Linked DNA regions of Lytechinus pictus. Each later gene encodes a partner of the first gene's protein in a complex. Links are inferred from orthologs where the notes say so. Each region holds a gene or a part of one and is shown on either strand. Other genes may lie near its edges.

Region 1 (8,249 bases):
CATAATGCTCCTAACAAATAAGATGCATCCTAGAAAAAGCAAAATTCTTGCACACAAACTTTTACTTTTGCATGTTAAGAGAAATGTATATTAATTTGTTAAAATGGCAATAGTTAATTTGTCAATACACATATGTGAGCATATATCTTGGGATCTATGCCCCAATGAAAATATAATTTCACTCAGCAAATGTATATGGAAGTCTGTGTTTTTATTTTGTTACCAAAAGAAATCTATTTGCAAATAAAACATAAAATCATTTTGATAAAAGTTACACACACAGAAAAAAAAATATGTAAATTGTTTATTTTTTTTACTTTACAACCACTTCAATCTTTTGATTTTTCTTATCATTTAAATTGATCAGATTTTTTCACTAACTTTGTAAAGTACAATAATGAGATTTCACTTTACAAAAAATCACCAAAACTTTAATAAGAAACTGGAACAGTTAGCCCTTCCTTTGGACCCCCCCCCTAATTTTTCCTTATTTTTCCCCAAATTTTGTAGCAGCTGGCAGCCAGGGCCAGTACTACAGAAAGTTTTCGAGGCACGTGTCAACTTTCTAAAATCAATACGCACACCCAGAGCAGTTGAGCAGTTCAATGTCATTGAAAGAGCTTTAAAGCCTTTGTTATATCTCATGGATTATTGTTTGTGATGGTTGGATGCACAGAACAGATGCTTTGAAGGGAAAATCTAGGTCCGAAGTGAGAACCAACATGGAAACTATTGTGTAGACTTGAGAGATCTGATTGATCTGAGATTGATATGGAAATAAAAATTGATGACATAATAACAAATTTGGGGGTGTTTCTCTAGTGGTTACTGAGGATATGATTTGTCGAGTCAAGCCCCCTACCCCGAAAAATTGTTATTATAAAATGCTTCTGGAACTTCTCTGCTTAAGTGCTTCAAATTATTCTTTTCTAAATCTTTCAGTTCTACTGAAGAGGAATCACAAGGATCTGTTCTATTGACTGCAGCAAGGACAATAGAATGATTATTTTTTTCAAGAAACATTAATAATTCCCAATATTTTTCCCCATAAATGCCAGTCACAATTATCATAAGTAGCCTAATCATAAGCAATATCATGTTATTAATATTCCCATTCTAAGGGCAAGGCCACTTGTCCACAGGGCACATTATCTACTAGTACACCATAAATAGGGAATTAAAATGGGAGTTAAACAATAAAAAAATGAAAACAGGAGTACCAGTACAACAAATCTTCAAGGCCAATGAGAGGGGCTTCAAAGCTAATCAACAGTGCATCCAAGTCATGGTGTTTGAGGCCTTTAATATTGGTATAATTTCAGTCCTGAATCATGATCACAATTACCAGCACGGCACAAAATATGGGGGCTCAGGCGAAATCGCCCAAAAAATGCCCCAATAGCCCTGGAAAAATTCAAAAGATCCCCTGATATCCCTCTAGAGTCCAATGAACACTGTGGCAAATGTGACGTGTCAAACGAGGGCTGGTGAGCTAAAAAAAAGTAACCCCAGAAGATTAATGATTCATACCTAAAAAACAGTAATCAATATATTTATGTTTGTTATGTAATAAAATACAAATTTTTGCCAACCAAATTTGGTTATCATAAGAGAAAATCTCTCAGCTAAGTCCTGTACAGTGTAAAAATCTGCTACATAAAAAATACCTTTTCTGTTTCAGTCTATAAAAAATGTGAAGCAAAATGCAATTTGATACCAGGAAAATTATTCACAATATAATATAACCACCAGCATCACAATAATAAAAATATCAAAATGATTTGCACAATCATAATCTTCAATTTCATTATGATGAAATTGATGATTATGCACCATGCACCATAATCATAACTTATCATCACCATCATCATCATCATCACCACCCCACCGCTATCATCATAACCATAATCATCACATCATTATCATCAGCAATCACTGTCATCATCATCAGGCCACCACCACCACCACAACCATCACTGTAACCAGTGGCGGACCGTGACCCGGAGGAGACAAAGCATTGGAGGGGCACAGCATTGTTCACAAATAATACCATGAATACAGTGCCCCTCCAATGCTTTAATTGTCTCCTCCGGGTCACGGTCCGCCACTGACTGTAACATTTCATCTTCACCATCATCATTTTGGTACAATCTCCGAAATGCCAGGAGTTCAATCACTTTACCATCATATTCTCAGTTTTTATCTCTCAAATTGTGTTTGACTTCCCCACTTTCAGTTTTAACATGAACATCAATGTTCGATATGCGCAGCGCGGCGTGTGGGTAGAGCGGAAGAACGAATATCACCTGTATCCCACAACGCTGAGACCAACAACCCCGGAGTTCCCCGCGGAGTACATCCCAATCCGCATCACATGCACTGTATTATTAACCTCCAAAATCTAAGCAACATCATAAACTTAAAAACGACGAACTGCAACAAAAAGGTTACTCACTGAATTATCTGCATTCGTTTATATGTCAAGATGGATCTCTTCCTCTGTCACATAAACAGATTCAGATGTTTGTTATCTTATTTCAGCGTAATTAAAGATAAAAGTTCACCGAATACAAAATTTGCCAAATTGACTCCAGGATTGACTTCCAGCTTCTACACACGTAGCAGACGATAGAAAACCTGCGATATCTGCTATATCGCGATTTGCCTATGTTGAGGGCGTAAGTGCAATGGATTCGAATAGAACATGCAATAGGCTTCATTGCTTTTGATTTTCATTGATTGGGGGGTGTAATGTTAACCCGGAATGTTAAAGGGATGGTCTAGGCTGAAAATATTTATATTCAAATAAATAGTGTAAAATTCACAAAGCAAATTGCTGAAAATTTCGTCAAAATCGGATAACAAAATAATTGAATTTTAAAGTTTATAAATATTTTGTGAAAACGGTTATTCGCACATCGTCATGTATATTCATTAGGTGGGCTGATGATGTCACTCCCCACTTTTCTTTTTCTTTTGCTATTACATGAAAACATAAATGTTTCGTTTTTTCATACATGTGTAAATAATGTGTCTCCATTATGATGAAATAAGTTGCGGCAATAAATAACTAATGCACTTAATCAGTTGTCAATCCACTTGTTTTCGTTCTTGGTAGAAAAATTTTGAATAATCCTAATTTCATATAATAAAATACAAAAGAACAAGTGGGGATATGACATCATGAGCCCATCTAATGAATGTTCATAAAGACTTGCCTAGAAATGTTTCACCGGAATAATATGCAAATGTTTAAAATTCAATAACTTTGTTATTTGTTATCTGATTTTGATCAAAATTTCAGCATCTTGCTCCGCCGTAAAGAAGAAGAAAAAGGAGAAGAAGAAGAAGAAGAAGAAGAAGAAGGAGAAGGAGAAGAAGAAGAAGAAGAAGGAGAAGGAGAAGGAGGAGGAGGAGAAGAAGTAGTAGAAGAATATAAGAAGAAGAATATTAATAATAATAATAATAATAATGATAACAGTAATAATAATAATAATATAGCAGGTCTATTGCTTCAGTGTTGAACAAGTCAGCTATCATGCGATATAGGCCTAAACTGCTGACATCGACAAATTTATCAGAATGTCATGTGTACTATATGCCCATACTCATAGCACTCGGAGACCGGGGCTCTTGAAAATGAAACAAATAGAATGACAGTCGATCTTCACAGGAATAATACACACACAAAAGAAAATATATTTTTATTTTCCACTGCACCTGCTTTTGTGTGAGTGCTGTGGTGAACAATCAGCACTGCATATACTCGAAATTAGACATTTCATATTTTGTATTGTTACACCTCTAGCTGTGAGCTAAACTCATTATTTATGTGATGCCATTAAGAACTAGACAGTGAGAGAGTGGGAGACACAATTATAGTGTCATTTTTTTCCTAGGCTTTTTTATGGAGTGGGTGTTTAATTTCACTCAAAATTGTGAGGAGTAGACCTATATACCTGCGCCATTCCGAATTCTGAACAAAACTCATCTCATCCATTATAAATGCATTCAATACATACCAGTCCCGAAAGCTAACAAATTGTGTTCTTCGAGTGATTTTTTAGGTTATGGGCCCATTATTCCTAGGGAGTGTTGCAAGAAAATATTTGCAATTAATTGTAAATGTTACAAGTTATAGATCAATTTTAAGAAAAGCAAATCAACGGTATTCTTGTTATACAAGGAGAAGACAATTGCAAATTTGCAATTAATTTCAAGATTTAAAACTGACATGCAATCGATTGCAAAATTCTTGCAACATCCCATTAAAATCGCTCATTAGAAATACAAATAACGAAATAAGCTTCCAACTGGTTATCCTGTTCAAGCCTATGATTTTAACGCTACTGTATACATGTATGGTGACTTGGAAAATAGAAGCAATCAATCAATCAATCAATCGATCAATCAATCAATGTGGTGGTGCCATGGCCGAGTGGTCGAAGGCGCCTGGCTACACATGGAAAGTCCGGGGTTCGATCCCCGGCCGCGGCACCTATGCCCTTGAGCAAGGCTTTTATTCTACAATGCTATTTTATCCTGTTTTCAAATAAATGGAAATGCTATATTCATTATTGGTAACTAGGTGTGCAATTGTTTTATTAAAAAATCGATGATAAAAGTATGGGTGAGAACAGATGATAAGAATAGTGGGATGAAAAGAAGTCATCAAAAACCTAAAAAGTCTTTGATTCAATGTTACTCTGAAAGTACATGTAATCCTACAAAGTAAGTTAGATGTTCAGAGAATTCTACAAAATACAAACAAAAAACGTATTCAATAACAAATCATAATTGTAAAAATTAACCGAAAAAAGCACTTTAAAAATTAAGTTGAAAAATGAAAAAGATAAATATTTTTACCAAAAACTAAACTGACTAATTATAAGCGATACCGTATGCCTTTATCGCCTTGCTACTTTTATTTTCGGTCGGTAATTTCAGTTTAAGAAAGCAGCACAAGCGATGGCGGTGAGCAAAAGCGCAAACACCTACAATCGACTGAATTGGGAAGAAGCTGTAAGTATTTTACGAATTAATTTTATCTTATTTGGGTCATAATGTGAATCTTCATTATTCCCTCAAGAATTTCATCAACATTCCGTTTGATTTCATGTAAGATTTACAAAGATCCATGCTATTTTGCAATCTCATGTTGTGGAGTAATTTTTGGTTGTACTGTCCCACCTGTTGGTATTCGTGTATTGGTTTCTGTGATGAAGAGAAAAGAAGAAAAAAAAGTGGACGTGTGTGACTCATTGCTCATTGAAGCTAATTGACAGAAATGTCGGTGCGAAAGCCTAATTTTTGCTTGAATGTAACCATGAATATGGATGGAATATATAATCTGAATGTCAACTGTGTGACTGATAGGAAACGTCAGCTGAGCTTGCTCAAATCTTTATGCTTTCGCTTTCGTTTCGGCGTCAACATGAAATGCAGTTCAGCATGAGCAGTTACATGATGTAGTTTGAGGTGCACAAGTCTAGAGTAGCCATTAGGCTCCTAGAGAGTAAAAATTCACTAATGTGTCACGGAGCCAGGCAGTAGAGGCGCATGGCCAATATGGGAGACTCTCTCCAATAGGGGAGACAATCTCCCACATTGGAGACTTGCTTTGCAAAAGGACAAAAGAAACAACACTAACAAAAGCATGATTTTTTCCACCCAAAATTTTGTCTCACTGAGGTCAGAAGCCCATTTGTTTTGTGTGTGATTGACAACAAAAATCCTTATCAAAACAAAAGTAGACGGTGAATTTTTAAAGTAGACGGTGAAAAGGGGTAATTTTTTATGAGGAATCTACTTATTACATTTTTATTTGCCGCCAAGGTAATCCTTTTGAAGCAAATGTAAACAAAGGAAATTGGACTCCAAAACTGGAGACTGTCTCTAAAATTGGATACCAAAATTCTTTACAAAAGTCTCTGATATTGGAGATAATCTCCCACATTGCAGATAGTCTCCAATATTGGCCGTGCGCCTCTACTGCCAGGGGTTGTGCCCATTAATCATGCGCGTAATGTTGTAACCCGCACCCGTTGCGGTACGGGTTAACCTGCCGGTATGCCCCCGATCGCGGGTTGCGGGCCGGGCCGAGTTCATTCTCAAACCCGCAGACCGTCATGCCAAAAAAAAGGGAGAAGTAACGACGCATAATAAAAACATTAACAAAATAATAAATGAAAATTGAGTTAGGATCATGTGCTTCTTACGTGGCGGATTCTTTTAGAGACGTAGATATTTCCTTTAAAAAAAATGCTGGCGTATTTTTGTCTTGTGAACAGTGAACAGAACTGAGACAGTTCGACATAAATACATCGAGTTGCTCTTTTGAAGAAGGAGCGCGCGCGCCAGTGCAGCGCAGCACAGTCTAGTCAAAAGCAATCGCATAGGCCAATGAAACTCGATGTCGAGTTTCCCGTCCCATTTTTTCAAGCTCATAATGAGGATTTCATTATTTTCCAGAAGATGAAAGTTTGACCTTTTGTAACCTTTGAACGCACTTTTATTCTGTGGAACTGTCTTGAAGCCAGGGAGCAAATCAATCATTTTTTTTCGGGGGTTCCATTTTCATTTTTTGGGTAATATTTCAGGGTCTCCATTTCTACCGTTTTGGAGGCTACTTTTTTCATTTTGGGGGCTCTTTTCAAATGCTACGTTTTTGTATTTTGAGGAATCCCTGTTCACTTATTAAATTAATTATTACTTATTGTTTAATATTGAATGATTTTAAAGTTATTTTTTTTCATGCTTAGAATCTTGGATGTGGGTGTGTTTGTGTGGGTGTGACTATGAGTTGAACTTGGATATAAATGAATTCAATATCTAATTTCTACTCCATCTAATTCCAGTACTTGGCCATGTAATAAAGGCCCACATACCCTAACTTTTCCTGATGTTCTTTGAAAACGCAGATCTCCACGAAAATTGCATTTCTCTATGGGGGAGTCTAAATTTGGTGAGAATGAACTCATTAATAACTTAAATATACATGACAATGAAGAAATCATCTAACTTTATTGGCAGTTTTGAATAATATTCCCGAAATATAAACTTTACAGAGCGAATTGTCCCCCAGAGCTCTGGCAGAGAGACAGAGCTCAGACTGGCTAGCTAGTACAAGCGCCAATGCGTACGTGCGTGAGCCTCCCGTCGGCCTTGTAAAACAGATTGAGTTTTGTTTGATGATTTTTTTGTCTGATATGCCGTATGACAACTCACCAATGCGAGGTTACTAGACTATGGGATTTATTGAGGTAGCTCGACCAAACCTCGAGCGATGTTCGTGCAGGCTCCACTCCACTTCACTACCGCTACATCGGGTAGGTAGAGCGTAGTGTAGCAGAAGTGAAGTTGAGTGGAGCCTGCGCTGCACGAACATCGCTCGAGGTGTGGTTGAGCATGCAGTGTCATTCCATTCACAAGAAAAAAACAAGAAAAGAATTACAGGTATTTACATGATATACAAGTAATTGTGACTGAAAAGCTTATATTAATGTTTTATATCAGTTCTGAATCTATATCTATGTCAAAATAGTAAAATAATGAATTATTTTCAGAATTTGATTTTTAAACGCGGTCCAAATTTCATAACGCGGGCGGGCGACGGGAAACCGAACATCGAATTTGCTGGGCAGCCTGGGCTACATGTAGCTAGCGCGCGCTGAGCTGCGGCTCCGATCCGAGGAGTTAATTGCGCAATGCTTTCGATTACGAGATCAGAGCCGACCCATTTCGGGTACAAAGTAACCCCCAAAAACATTTTCTCTCCGGAATAAAAGGCAAATTTGCAAATTGTAAGTAAATTCACTCTAGGCTAGGTTAGTAGTTGGCATATATTTTCGTGATTTGAGCCTGTATAGTGTGGGGATTGCAGAAATAATTTTCACTTTTCAAAGATAAATTTACTTGCGGGTTAAAACCCGACGGGTCAGCGGGTCCCGCTTGCAAATTATTGGATTATACGGGACGGTACGGTTCGGGTTTTCACTTGCGGGTTACAACATTACATGCGCGTATACTTATAAGAAGGTAAAAATAGTTCTACTTCTAAGTTCTAGCCCTAAATTATGTAAATGCGCTAGAACTTCATTTCCAACATTCAAACATTATTCATTACATATTTAAAACATACATATTTAAAAAACCCAGAAATTTATTTCGAGGAGATGGGATGTAACTTACCGATGTTGACGTCACCATCTTGCCCTCTTTGTTAGTAGCTAAGCTACGACACGCGTATA
Region 2 (7,398 bases), on another chromosome or scaffold:
GCTTTAATTGTTAATGGATTAAGGCTGGGAAGCTAGACACAGCTATGTACTGTATTGTACTGCTCTTTGCTACTGATGGTTCTATCCAGTGGTGTGAGATAGGCATTTTGATACAGCTACGAACACTATTTCGGTCTGTGAATCCATTTATTCAATGGCAAAAGATGGATTTTCAGTGTGATGAAAGTTGAAAGCCTTACATGTTTTGTTACTTTCATATTTTGAGAAGTATAATGTAAATTTCGAGTGTATTCGTTTTTGTATTTTAAAAGTGATATACATGTTATGTTCTTTTATAGTGGAAACTTAATATTAGTAATATTAATGGATGTGTTCATATTTAAAGTCAAGATATTTCAACTACCTTGTATTTGAATTGATTTTTAGTTTGGCATAGGTCTGCACAAGAGAATGATAACTTTGAAGACCTGTAGATGATATTGCCCTAGACGACATATCACTTCTCACGATAGTGCAAACTTCCAACTTTTTAGGGTTCAGGGGCAAGGGTCATAGCTGTCAATCTAACACCCTTTTTCCCTTTCCTAAGTTTACTATCTTTATGTTAAATGAAGCAGCAGAAAACGAGATATGATTTGTACATCAATTACATGTATTTAATACAATATGTGAATATTACTGCTGGTGAAAATAAAAACAAATTAGTTCTGAGTAGAAGGTTTTTTTTTTAATTGTTTAAATGCTTTTGTAATAGGCCAGTTAGAAACAAACTATTTTCATCTTTCTTAACTCTGAAAGATTGATTTTTGAAAATTGTAGTTCATCATGTGAAAACAACACAAGATATAAAATGTACATTACTGATGATAATCCATGAACTTATTGCTTGTAGAATTACGAAAACAATATTCAAGCTTCTCATAGGCTATGCTCATTTTTCGACTTCCAAAGGTTTGTCAGTTCTCAGGTGGTCTTACAATTTCGTCTTAGATCAGATTTGATTTCCTTTATAAGTCGATTGAAGGATCCTAAAAGCATAAATACATAAAGGTGATTATCAATACAGTTTCTTCGCTTACCCTTTGGTGTAAAAATGTTTATTTTAATCATAGGTGCAATATGTCTGTTTATATTATAATTTCAATATGAATCGACCCAGTAGTGATTACAAAGGTCTATTGATGCTTGCTATGAGGACTATGTAATCAAGAAATTTTTGTCAATTCAATTAAAGTTAGATTTAGGACCCTCTATCACAAGTCTTGTAATCAATCGGAAATTCGCAATTGATAACTGGCGTGATTCTTGCATCAACAAATATTACCTTGCTTTACTTCAAGTCGACTTATCACTTGTAAATTTGCAACTGAAGTTGTAATTATTTTCTTGCAACACCCACTACATGTAGATGTATGTCTTATATATTTCGGCGAATTTCTCTGCAGCCCTGTTTATTTTTGTCATTGATATGATCGACACAATGCAGGATTAGCTTGTTTTAAACTCATATTGACTTGCTTGCATTGTATTGGTTTTACAGAGATACCTTCAAACTATAGATAGATACATGTTCTCTGAGAACGATGGCAGTTGAAACTGTAGAAATTCACCTTGTGTAACTCGATAACCTTTTCAGCAATCTGTTCTGTTAAAGTATGGATTTAGTTTTTGTGTTTAAAGATATCTTGCTGTTTATTATTTTTTTGTATCTTTATGTTAAAAACATTGTAAGATAAGATAAGGATTTCAAAGATTTATTGACTTTACTGATTTGATTTGTTTTTGTATTGTCTTGTTGGTTGAGGTTGTGTTTCCTAAAGTTCATAATGCTGAGATAAGGATTCCATATTTATCTCTGTATACAGTTTACAGTTAATGTCGTGTTTCCACTGCCAGGTTTGGCAATTAGATCATGTCATTTTAAATATTCAAGCTCTAAATTTGCTATTTTTGTGATATCCTAATATGGGGAAAGTGAAATTATTTAAACCCCAGTGGAGTGTTTCATAATAGTATTTGTCATATGTTTTATCCCGTGAAATCTGTTTTATCCAACTGTAACCATAGTAACAGACAGCTAAATTTCTTAGCCAATCTTAATCCAGAAAAGTGATGGACCAGACAACATGTCAGAGAAATGTTGATGAAACACATGTACATGATTTACTTAAATAAAACGACTATGAATTATTTGTAAGGTTTAACTTTAGCTTGGGTATAACTTACCACTTTGAATTTTGCTTTATAGACATGTCTTCTTCTTCAGCATAATTTTGTGATCTATCATCCTTATTCCTAAGAGTGAAGATTCAAAAGCTTACAGGCTCACAGTCACACTATGTATGGTTCACATATGGTTCAGTAAGATTCAGCATCAAATGCTTATGCAGCTGATTACATGTGTTCATGAAGTAGTAGATTATAAAGTAGAAATTTGCAATTATGACGTCACAGTACTAGGTTGAATCTCTTGGGAGAAAATTCAACTCAAAACTGATAGATGATGTGTTTTGCATATAATGTTTTGAAGTGCTGCTTGAGCCTGCTTCAGTTGTTGCTATTATTTCACGATTGGAATTACTCCAAACTGGGTGGTATTTCATAAAGCTGTCTTTGTGCGTTAAGCTACGCATGACTACGCATAACTGGAACATGTTCTTAGGTGCTCAGTCAGTTACATGTGATATATCATTTAGCCTAAGATAGGGTCACCAGTCATGTGTAAACAACTGCAGTCGTCCCAAGATTAATTGTCAAAGTACATGTACATGTGCGTCTTAGATATATTCTAACTAATTGAACGAAATAAATACAAGTGTGATGATTATTGATGCATTGTGATTTACGCGTAGATGACGACAGAAAGGTCCGAAAATATGCATTATCGCACTTCATGATATATTATCTTTAATGCATGACTGATCAGTCACAATTTGCAACTAGGTGAAAAACAAGGCTATTATTATCTCTTCCATATGAAATCAATTAACTGTGTATAATGACAGCCAGGTTAGAAGTTTTTTGACTTCAGCATCTTCTCCTTTTACTGCGTTTTATATGTATAGTGTTCAAATAATTCCTGTATACACTGTATATGTCGTACATGTACATTGTAAGCAAGCAGTGAGTGTGAAATAGGTAGGTGTGTCTGAATTATTTTCATTTTGGTAATATGTCATGGTTTACTTATAGGGATATCAGAAAAAATTACAGGACATTATTATAAAAACTAAATTCTAAATCACTTACATTTGCAGGTGTACATGTTAGAGTTCAAGAATTATGTCTGTGAATCTTCACGAAATTACATATGATGTCAATTTTGTTAACTTTGTATACCAAGTGATGGCTGTCACTTTTTAATGGAAAGAGGTATAATTATCTCTGTGGTGTCATTATTTATTATGATAGATTTATAGCAAAGCACAGGGTGCATCTATATTGATTGTAAATGTACCGTTTGTGTTACATTGTGCAAAGCACTTAAGTGGCCGGGGGATACTGGACGTCTTGTAAATAAAGACTGATCAATCATAGCAATACCTGATTTTCCTCATTCTTTGTTAAAGTCTATCTTTTGCCTGTTTCAGCACCCCCCCAAAAAAAAAAAAATTTGTGAATGTCACTATTCCAATTCATTATTAGATCATATTAATGAATGTGTCCCAAAAATGGTCATACACAGAATATTTTCAGGGGGGGGGGGGCAAAGATGCATACATTTTTTTAAACACTCCAAAGTGATCGGGGGCAAAGCAACCAACCAAGCTTGTCTTCGGGGCACTTATGCATTTTTAAAAGTGAAATTGAAGGATTTTGTGCACACTGTTGGTGAATTTTGTGATCACTTTGAGTAAAAAAATGCAAGTTTTAATTTTTTTAGGGGGGGAGGCAAACCATAGGAATCGCGAGCGTTGAGTGACAGTTAAGTTCTGAGCTAAGGCTTAATTGCAGGGATTTTTGTGGACAAAATTGGAAAATCAGTAGACTGTGGTAATTGAGGTTAATCTCCATAATCTCAGATGCATCTGAGGCTCACGATTTTTCAATTTTGTCAGAAAAATTGGCGAAGACCGCAGAATTATGATTTTTTTTCTCTTCAAATTTTGCCCAAAGAAAGCCTCCCCCCATCAAAATTATCCCTCATTGTAGCGCCCTCTATTCCAGCTGTAGCGCTATGCGGCGTTTTCACTTTTTGTAGTGCAAACGGGATGCTTGAAAGCCTTGATTTCGTCGGCCTCTTTCGTAATTCTAACTGAGAAAATATGGCGGGAGAAGTAATAGTTGATGCCTTGCCCTATGTCGACCAGGGATACGATGAACCAGGAGTCAGAGAAGCGGTTGGTATTTGGAATAATCTCTTTTTTTGGGGGGTCGTCTTTGCCTTGGCAAAACTAGACTGCGAGCGAAAGTGACTTCGGTCCCAGGTATTAATTTTGGTGTTTAGTTTTCAACTCGAGGAACAATTCTGTGACTGTGTCTTGGAGTGTGAGTGACGTGGACCTAGCCAGGAGACTCCTAGCACTAGTGACTCCTAGAGAGTAAAAATCATTTACTAGCGTATGCTTGTACTCTCCACGGAGCCAGGGATGGTGTTAACCCCATTCATGTGCGTGTACCGGGAAAAAACTGAAAGTGAAACTGAAGCCTATTCTAGCTCGGGGGCGAAAGTTTCAATTTTTTCGTGGTAGAACTGGTACACGCAAATGAATGGGACACAAAAGTCAAAAGTCACAATCCCTGGCTCCGTAGAGAGTAAGCATACGTTAGTCGTTAGCAAATGATTTTTACTCTCTTACTAGTCTTAGTCTTAAGACTCTAAGTCTAGACTAAGTTAGACTGAGAGAATGAACTGCAGCCACTCACACGTATATTGCGAGGTTAGTATTACTCACTCACACAACATGCGAGGTTAGTATACTAACCTCGCACAACACATGTGATTTCATAGTGCATTTTGACGTTTTCATTCATCACACGAATGTGAGGGACTAAACTACGCCAAACCTTTCAATATTTCTCCACTATGTTAATCTTGATCGTATGGTTTACTTTAAGTAGGGTGTCTGAAGCCACACTGAAAAGTGTCAGCATAAAACAGGCTAATTTAGGGAAAATATGGCACATTTTTTCGGGGAAGTTCAGGCTACTAGAAAAATGTGATCTGAATTGATTATTAACTTGTGTTTGGCATGTATGGAAAGAGAAAATTCAGGGGCTCCTTTTGACAGTAAGGACAAGTTTATATGATCTTTTTAAATAAGGATTTAGAGATAAATTGCAAACCCTGGCCTTATTTATGTGTGTGTTGAGATTGCCATTTCTCCATGCGTTTTCTATGGGAAAATGAAATTTCTGTTTTGCACAATTTTTTTCACTTTGTCGCAATTTTTCATTGTGATCTGGTTTCAAAATCTTTATAAAAATCATACCATCAGATAGAGCATAAAAAATCCTATTGGACTCTTTATGGACAAGTTTTTGGCATTAATAATAAATTTATAACAGCTCTCGGAAGCTAAAAATTTGGATTTGTGTGTGTCCATTTCTTAACTACACAGTCTATGGCAGAGAAATGCTGAAAATTTACCTAATTTCATTCTTCTTTTTTGCAGCCAATAATTGGATTTTTTCCAAAATGTTACATTTCTGTCAGTCTGAAGGTCATTTCTCTTCAAATTCACAAAGAAAATGTGATATTTTCTTGAAATAAGAAAAATAATTTTTTTCTCCAGACACCCTACTTTAAGGTTATTTGAAAAAGAAATTATAAATTATTTATTAAAGTGTTTTTATCGCTTACCTCCAAATCTCAACCAGGATACTTCGCTCGGTCCGTCCTTAGTCATCCTTCGTACTGCGGTGGAAATTACGCAAACAACAATCGAAATGCGAAATTTTCCTATCGAATATTCTCGATTCAAGTCGTCGGCGCATAATAGGAAATTGTACCAAAAATCAACATAGTTCTCTATTTATTCAAACAATTTTTTCTGGGGTGCACTTGACCTTTAAGAGATTTTCCAATGAAAATATTACATGGAACTTGGAAATACAAATCATAATTTGGTTGAACAAAATGTTTTCTGTTAAAGTATAAAACAGAAGAGGAACATATCCTTCACGTATTTTTATATCCAAAATATGTTGCCTTAGTATGGAATAATCACAATGACATAAAATGAAAATGGGTAAAGTACCTTCCTAATGATCATTGAGATTTCGCCTATGGAATCATTGTTTAATAATTTTCAAAGCTTTAAATAGATGAAAATGGTCATTGAGAAAATATACATGAACAAAATGATAATGTCCCGATTGTTTCGCATTACGTGTGTTAGATTGCGGGCGTTTGTGTGTGTGTGTAGGAGGCAAGATATTCGTGTTAATGTTTGCACAAAAAAGGAGAGGGAAAGGAAAAGGGGAGGGGGAAAGGTAGAGGAGAGAGAGGGAAAAGGAGACCATAAAATAGAAAGAAAACAAAGGAAAGGAAGAGGGGAAGGGAGAGAGAAAGAAAAATGGAAAGAGCGAGAAAAGAGTAGGGGAGGGAGAAAGGAAAGAAAAGAAGGGAAAGGAAAAAGGGAGAAAGGGAATGGAGGGGGCGGGAAAGGAAAGGAGAGACAATAAAAGACAGATCAGGGGAGGGGGAAAGTAGAGGAGAGAGAGGGAAAAGGAGGCCATAAAATATATATAGGTCTCCTCATCATGGTTATAAAAAGTGCTCAGAATGTTTTATTTTCAAGTCCTTGTATCAGAATTTTCAGCTCGGGCAGCTCTATCGCATTTTGATTACTATCCTGTTGATTTATTTACTTGAACAAAATATTTAAAATGTCCAGCTTTTAGAACAGATATCAAAAAAAGGTATTCACCTTTGATCATAGATGAGGAAGAAGAAAAAAGTGCAAAAAAATAGGAAACAAACTAACGAATTAATGTGACATAATTTTTCTTCATTTCAAGGCGACTCTTTACATTTCATCATCGCTGATGGCGCTACAATAGAAAATACCGCTTGACAGCCAAAAAAAAACAGAAAGAGGAAAATAATGCTGAGCGTCTAAAACGCAGCTAGCAGTACAAGCTGCAGAACAGTAAACAAACATCTTGTGAATAATATCGCGCGCCCTCTTTAAGCAAAAGTTTACAACCACGATGACCCTGCGGTATCTATGTGAAGATCACGAGAAAATGCTTTTTTTTTCTTAAAAACACACCAAAGAGAAGACAAGAAACGATCCATATGGTTCGGTAAGTGTCATAGCACAATTAGAAATATTATTTTAAAAGGAATGGCATAGTTATTTTAGTAAAAAGGGTGTGAAAAATTTGCGTGCACCATGTGCATATGAATCCTTCGCACGCGAGATGCATTGATCCCATGAGTGAGTATTACTTAGTATACTAACCTCGCACCATGAACCGCGTTTGGCAGTG

What was found.
Region 2: pre-mRNA-splicing factor RBM22-like (region 1) and pre-mRNA-splicing factor SPF27-like share a complex: the UniProt entries of both Homo sapiens proteins name them as parts of the postcatalytic spliceosome P complex. The link is inferred for Lytechinus pictus from reciprocal best matches to the Homo sapiens genes RBM22 and BCAS2.

The regions. Positions count from the first base shown.
Region 1 is NC_087262.1:21,577,334-21,585,582, reverse strand, and holds the start of pre-mRNA-splicing factor RBM22-like, read left to right. Parts: upstream 1-4,903; 5' UTR 4,904-4,968; coding exon 4,969-5,022; intron 5,023-8,249. UniProt on the Homo sapiens protein: Required for pre-mRNA splicing as component of the activated spliceosome. Involved in the first step of pre-mRNA splicing.
Region 2 is NC_087246.1:47,381,956-47,389,353, forward strand, and holds the start of pre-mRNA-splicing factor SPF27-like, read left to right. Parts: upstream 1-4,114; 5' UTR 4,115-4,226; coding exon 4,227-4,301; intron 4,302-7,398. UniProt on the Homo sapiens protein: Required for pre-mRNA splicing as component of the activated spliceosome. Component of the PRP19-CDC5L complex that forms an integral part of the spliceosome and is required for activating pre-mRNA splicing.